Coturnix japonica: one gene and its partner. Each later gene encodes a partner of the first gene's protein in a complex. Links are inferred from orthologs where the notes say so. Each region holds a gene or a part of one and is shown in the gene's direction. Other genes may lie near its edges.

Evidence for each region. Proteins that work in one complex are often made in the same cells at the same time.
Region 2: SMARCC1 (region 1) and PHF10 share a complex: the UniProt entries of both Homo sapiens proteins name them as parts of the neural progenitors-specific chromatin remodeling complex. The link is inferred for Coturnix japonica from reciprocal best matches to the Homo sapiens genes SMARCC1 and PHF10.

Annotation. Positions count from the first base shown.
Region 1 is NC_029517.1:723,726-727,380, forward strand, and holds part of SMARCC1 (SWI/SNF complex subunit SMARCC1), read left to right. Parts: intron 1-803; coding exon 804-957; intron 958-1,605; coding exon 1,606-1,719; intron 1,720-2,147; coding exon 2,148-2,207; intron 2,208-3,655. UniProt on the Homo sapiens protein: Involved in transcriptional activation and repression of select genes by chromatin remodeling (alteration of DNA-nucleosome topology).
Region 2 is NC_029518.1:36,964,019-36,967,673, forward strand, and holds part of PHF10 (PHD finger protein 10), read left to right. Parts: intron 1-31; coding exon 32-185; intron 186-2,602; coding exon 2,603-2,758; intron 2,759-3,655. UniProt on the Homo sapiens protein: Involved in transcription activity regulation by chromatin remodeling. Belongs to the neural progenitors-specific chromatin remodeling complex (npBAF complex) and is required for the proliferation of neural progenitors.

The DNA of each region.
Region 1 (3,655 bases):
CCAGTGCTTGCATTAGAAGAAAAGGAAATAGCGCGGCTTTGGTAATGGAAATGCTCTGGTAGGCAGGATAGGTGTGGGTAGCGGAATCAATTGAGTTTGAAGAGGCCATTTAAGGTCATCTAGTCCAGTTCCCCTGCACTGAACAGGGGCACTACAGCTGGCTCAAGTTGCTCAGAGCCCATCCAGCCTGGCCCATCCATCCAGTAGCCATTGTGCTGTCACTTTAGCAGTCTGTTCAGCCTCCTCTTGTAACCAGAGTATGTTATACTGTCCTTTATTTATGGAGTTCTGGGTGCTCGGTGAACCTACAGAGTTGGGGTCTTAACCTTTAGTGTCTGCTCTTTATTAAGCGTGTGGAGTTCATTTCAGAGTTCCTGGGTCTGCAGTTCAGTTTGGTTGGTTTGCTGTGTTTCACCAGATTTAAGTTGTGAGGTGCAGCAGAGCCCTGAAATCTCAGAACTTGCTGATGGTAGATCCAATATGAACAGCTACAGGTGGGTGAGAGAAGAAAGGGGTTGTGCAGCCCTCACATTGGTATGATGTCTGCAGATGGCTCCACATATGCAGCCTGAGCTTTACTTCATCTTTAAATAGATTTCCTGTTGTTCTGTTCCCGTGCTATATGCTAGGTGTCATGCTGGAGAGGTAATCAAGTCCACACAGTATGCCATATTTATTGCTCTTGTGATCAGTGAAGGTCTGTAGGAGGTGATGAGCCAATCTGATCCAAAACCAACCATTCCTTGGCTGTCTTTGCAGTCTTGCTTTGTTTCTTAAGATGTGGGTTTGTCCTGTTGTTTCAGAGTGCACGCTTTTCTGGAGCAGTGGGGTCTCATCAACTACCAGGTGGACCCGGAGAGCCGCCCCATGGCCATGGGCCCTCCTCCCACCCCTCACTTCAACGTGCTGGCCGATACACCCTCCGGCCTCATGCCTCTGCACATCCGTACCCCACAGGTGAGCCCTGCAGTGCCCTGGGGGTGGGAGGTGGCAGCTCTGGTCAGTGTCGTGCAGGAGAGTCTGCACATGTTGCTCATGGAAGGTGTTCATGAGTTCAGAATGGGTCAGTTGAGTCATATCGTATCATATCATAGACTGGCCTGGGCTGAAAAGGCCCACAGTGCTCATCGCATTCCAACCCCCTGCTGTGTGCAGGGTCAGCAACCAGCAGCCCAGGCTGCCCAGAGCCACATCCAGCCTGGCCTTGAATGCCTGCAGGGATGGGGCATCCACAGCCTCCTTGGGCAACCTGTTCCAGTGCATCACCACCCTCTGGGTGAAAAGCTTCCTCCTAAGATCCAACCTAAACCTCCCCTGTCTCAGTTTAAAACCATTCCTCCTTGTCTTATCGCTGCCCACCCTCACAAAAAGCCATTCCCCCTCCTGTTTATACACTCCCTTCAAGTACTGGAAGGCTGCAGTGAGGTCTCCGTGGAGCCTCCTCTCCTGAATCAGATCCGCACTGATGCTGTGTAAAGACATCTCCATAACTCATCATGTTGAGCTGTTTTGTTGGTTCTGTGTTGTGCTCAACCTTTGTCTGTAAACTTGGGGGATCCCTTTCAGCTCCTGACACTCCGTCCTTCCTTTCATGTTTGCTCACAGATCCCAGCTGCTCAGCAGATGCTGAGTTTTCCTGAGAAGAACAAAGAGAAACCCACTGACCTGCAGAACTTTGGGCTGCGCACAGATATTTACTCAAAAAAGACCTTAGCAAAGGTAAGTGCGTTTGGATTTCTGTTCCCCTGTGGCTTCTATTAAGTGGGTTCTATCAGTTGTCCTCCTCCAGATGACAGTGAAATGACTCGTTACTCTCAGATTCCCACTTCAGTTCTCACTGGAGGACACTGAGATGCCTCGCTGTATTCATGTTGGGTAAACAGTTTTGAAGGAGAGGACCACGTGCCTGTCCCAAACTACTCAGTGCTGTCAGTCTACAGACACTGAATTTGTGTTATCCTTATTTGATATTTTAATTGAATGCTTCGAAGTCAGCCAGGTGTCAAATAATTCAGTACAGAACCAAGAATCTTTCAGCAGAATCTTGAGTATAGAACTCAGGATCTGTCAGCAAAGTGCAATGTCTGGCACTTGGGCTGGAGGAATCCCAGTCATGAATACAATTGTGTTTTCCTCATCTTTTATAGAGTAAAGGTGCCAGTGCTGGAAGAGAATGGACGGAGCAGGAGACGCTGCTGCTGTTAGAAGTAAGTTCCTGGGGGAAAATGTAAGGCCAGGAGACAAAACCATGTAGGATTTTATACAGTAAGGAAAATGGACACGGAGGTTTAGTGGGTTCTTTTGAAGTCGGGGCAGATGGCAACAACATCCTTTTTGCTGCAGTTCTGAGACCCGGCAGACGTAGCTGGAGGGATGGGTGGTGGAGCTGTGTGTGCACGAGGCTGCCTGCTGCTGCTGTGCCTTTGGAGCTGGTAAAAGGCTGGGGCTCTCCCTTGAAGCTGTATCTCTTTCTTTGTCCGTCATCTCTACCAGAGCGCTGCTGCTACACAGATAGAGTGGAAGCATCTTGTACTGAGGGGACATTATGTTCTTTAAGGTTCACTTCTATCTGATTGTAGCTACAGCCCAGGAATTAAATGCTTAGATATGTTTGCACAGAGTCGAGAGCAGGTCTTGCAATGCAGGGAGGTCTTTGCATTGAGCAGCAGTTAGCAGCACACTGTGCCCTTCAAGGAATGGTTTATCTGCATGTAAGAACATGGAGAAGTTCTCTTGATCTTTCCAGGCTCTCCAATAAGCCATAACATGTTACAGGGAGCTGCAAACAGCCGCTCTGGAAGTTGAATTATTTAACACGCAGATTGTTTTCCTGTGCTCTGCCTCTTAATAAAGGAAGCTTTTAATTTGGTAGCCCTTGCATCCAGCACGTTAATTCATTCCAGGTGTGGCTGTCAGTCTGCACACTGCTCCATTCGGCCTGGGGAAGGACTTTGCTTATGGGGGAGAACAGTGAGGATGTGCTGTTCTGGCAGGGCTAATCTCAATGTGCTGCCTTCTTTTACTCCTGTTCCTGATAGGAAATGCTGGTGCCTCACACACAGCAAGCAGCCACCTCATGAAGTAATCCAGGCAGCATATTCATTTTTCTTTTAGGAAAACAAACAAAGCCTTGAGATTGCAAATGTATTTAATGCGAGTTTCAATTATTAATGTTCCTCATTCTTTGTGGATTTAACCTATGAATTAATCAGTACAGAGAGAATATCAGTTCAAGCGTAAGTAATGCAGCTGTAACGAGGCAGCTTGGTCCAATTAAATCCTCGGGGCGGCTTTGGGCAAATATCTGTGTGGTGCAGTTCCAAAGAGCAAATGGTACCTAAAATAGTCATCTCAAATAATGCCCATCCTTCCTCCTGTTGGCTGAGCAATGGGAGGGGTTGGCTTTCCCTGCCTGCCCCACTGCTCTGCCCCTCCGTGGTGTTCCAGAGCTCTCAGCTATTCCTAATAGGACTACAGAAATCTACCAGGGAGTGAAGGAGAATGAGTAGAAACCTTTCACGTGGCTGCAGGACGCAGCACTCGATCTGATGTGCTGAGTGGCTGCAGTGGGGATGTGATGACACGTGGTGGGATGGATTTAGGGAATGTGTGATGCTGAATGTGGGGTAAATGCTTCCCCACGAGTCTGACCCAG
Region 2 (3,655 bases), on another chromosome or scaffold:
GGCATTCATTTATTTATTTTACTACCTTCAGATATTCTCCAGATGAACTTCGTTACTTACCATTAAACACAGCTCTTTACGAACCCCCTTTGGATCCAGAGCTGCCTGCATTAGACAGTGACGGGGATTCAGATGATGCAGAGGAAGGGCGAGGTGACGAGAAACGGAAAACCAAAGGCAATTCGGTGAGACACATTGAAAGTATTCTTCAACAACAAAAATAATCCTTTCTATTTGCTTTTTTTTTTTTTTTTTTTTTTAGTTTCAGTAATTTCCTATTACAATCTTTTAACTTTTGCAAAATGAAGTAGAATTGTAAACTCAGAATACCCACCTTTTTAGTACTTCTCTTTATTTTATAACATTTCTCTTCAACTTTCCATTTTACTCTGTTTTTAAAGTAAGTCAAACAAATCTCTGGAATATCAGGCCCTTTTTTTCTTCTTTCTAAATAAGTTTTGAAGAACCTTCCTTATAGCCTTTTCCTCAGGTGATAGATCTGTCTGCTGGCATTTCTGAGAGGAGTGAATTTCAGTTCAGTTCGCAGCATGTTTTTGCTATTTTAGTTTCATAGAATGTATCCTATTACTAAAGGAAAGGACTTATTAGTCTTGCTTACTTTGTTTCCCTGTGAAGTAGAAGCAGGAAGCATTAAATACAGAAACAGTTATTTTATTGCTGCAGCTTAAAGGAAAGGTTGAAGGCAGTTTTATTGTTGCTTTTTGATACATCTTTAGTAGGTGTATGTGTTCTTTTTACTTAAGCAAACTTCAAATTAATTGTTACTAGAATATAAGCAAAAGTTTCACATACCTACCTTGGTAGTGTTAAACAGTTGTGCTTCAGATGAGCTATCTGGGTACGACTAAATAATTATCATTTTGGTGTTGTTGTTGTATTGGTACTGACCATTTTGTAGAAATTGAGCCCTAATTCTCAGATTCACAGATGCATTTAACAATTTCTAGTTCAGCTGACTAAAATGGTATAGTGGGCAATTGATAGAAGGTAAAAAGTGAAATTTCTCCATAGGAATATATATTGTTAAATATTCACAAAATACTCGTAACTAAAGAAGAATGGAAGGGGTCAGCTTGTAGACTAGCGAGTGGTAGTGTTAATATGCCCTTTTTGCTTCTATTCTGGGGAAAGAGAAAGTAAACTTAGCATGTTACATTTCAACACAAAAATTTGATTTAATCATAGTCCAGGTTGTGGAGCTTTTTTGTTTGTTTATTTGTTTTAATAGTTGGTCTTTAATCACCTCTTACTAGTTCCCATTTCTATTGGCTTCCACTTTTATTTAATGGCAAAGAAAAGTAATTGGACTGAGGAGATTATCCTTTCATTTTCCACAGAAGTTCAGATGGCTTTTGATGAGAGAGCACAGAAAGGAAAATGTGCTTCTGTGTGAAAGATGAAGGAGATTCTTATGAAGTGAGTTTGGTATAGAGCAGGGCTTCTTTAGTAATCATTGAGCAAAATATCTGTTGAACGCAAAAGAAGGCAGTTCTCAAGTCTCTTCCTGAGTCCTGAGCTGCCTACCATTCTCCCTGTTGAGTCCTATGATATGCCTTTTCCTTTTATCCCCTCTCAATTGTTGGAGTAAGGTAGCAGTTTCCCTGATCTATTGTGTTTTAGTGGACTTATCCTAAATAGCCCTGCCACAATTAAAATAAATAAATAAATAGAAAACACCCATCAGCTGTGAAACCTGCATTCTTTTTACCATGTAGTTAGCTTTGCTTTTCTGTTATACTCCTCCTTTTGTCCTATGTCTGTTGTTTGGATTTTAGGTTCTGGGGCATAGGCGGATTACTCTGCACAGAGTGCCTATTACTGTAAAGCACCATTGTTACATGGCCTTTCAGTTTTTAGTGCAAGAAATGTGATTGATTGTATTGTTTTCTGCTGGAGCTTTTTGGAGGCCTTTATTAATGCTTCTCTGAGAACAATCTTGTGCTGCTGCTCTCAGTTATGCTTATGTTGGTCTCTCACTTTCTTTGAACCTCTTCCCCTTTTTCTTACCTTCCCATTCCTCAAAAAAAATATTTAACTGCAGCATGAAATCTATGTTTGGTTCTGCATTAAACACTGAAGCATGTTTTGCCTTTGGCATTCTTCTGCTGCAATCAACATGAAATGTTTAGGGTGCTCCTGGTGGAAAATATGAGATGAGGGTGGCAGAAAAAAACCTTCACATATTTAATTTGAGATAGTGCTGTTTGGTAATACACTTTAAATGCATGGCCAGGGCACTTTTAACTTTTGCTGGCCCTTTGTAATATAAACAACATCTTGCATATAGTTGATTTCTTGCTGACTTTCAAAGGAAAATGGTTCAAAGAACTAGTGTATCCCACTATGCTATCAAGATAACTGAAAAAGCATTACTGTTATTGCTGATGCCAGTCTCTTAGCATGAAAACAAACAGATAAAGAAGGTTATGAGAAAAGATGTTCTGTATCGTGATGTACCCTGTGCTTTTGTAGAAGGAAAGATATATCCTTCTTTTACCTTAGTTGGCTCTAAGGGCCATACAAAAGACTTGTCTGCCTATCCAAAAAAGTAAAAAATATAGCTATGGTATTTTCATTATAGGACAATTCGTCTGGCAATGTATCTGAAGGTGATTGCGCCACAGACAACCAGGAGGATTCTTTTCAGGGAAGACAAAAAACAAGAGACAAAAGTGCTACTCCAAGAAAAGATGGTTCCAAACGTTCTGTATTATCCAAATCAGTTCCTGGGTACAAGGTAGAAGAAAAAAGCCCCTGACTGAACATCTTTATTGACCAGCCTCTCCCTGAACTACTTGTTTTTCAGTATTACGGAACTTCTGCTTGCTGTACTTCACTCGCTGCTCTCCTGTTGTGTGCTCCATCTGTTTGCTTCCTTACTTCCTTTTTGCTTTTATTTCACATGGGCCTCTCCTGTACTCTAGCTATACAGCGGCCTTTGTTTCTGTTAACTTCTCCAATTCCTAGGCAGTTACACTAGAAAAATCCATTGTGGTTTGGTCGTTGGAACTCTAGATCTTTCTGTCTGCCTTGACATTGACATGCCAGTCAGAATTACTTGCCAGTTCAAAACTAGCACTTGGTATCCGTTATTTTTTTTGTACTGTTTAGTACATACCTAGAGGTCAGTGCTGTAAAGTGCAGCTATGTGGCTGAACATGTTATTATAATGTTCATTTTAAACAGTCTTTCATCTTGAGATATTATGATGTATAGGATGAAAGGCAAGAAGCTTGCTACAGCTGTACAGGCAACACTACATAACCACTTTAACACTATATGGAAGAGAGCTTTTTATGTAGTTCATACTATGTGGAAAAGTTTGTAGGCAATATGCTTTTATCTGACTCGGTTAGGATGTTAATACAATTGAGCTATAAAGCAGCAATTGCCAAACCTAAGACCCAAATCATCAGTATTACTGGAGAATAATGTAAAAAAAAAATAAATGAGATGGCAATAGGTTGATTAAAAATACTTTTTTTTTAGAAAAAACGGAAATTGACAAGCATTATCATTATTGTTTTTCTGCTTAACAAGAAGTGTAACTTAACACTTCTAAAATATGTTGTCCAATCCTGTTCTATTGAAAGGAACAACAGTTTCCTTTGACATATACAGGAGCAGGAATAGA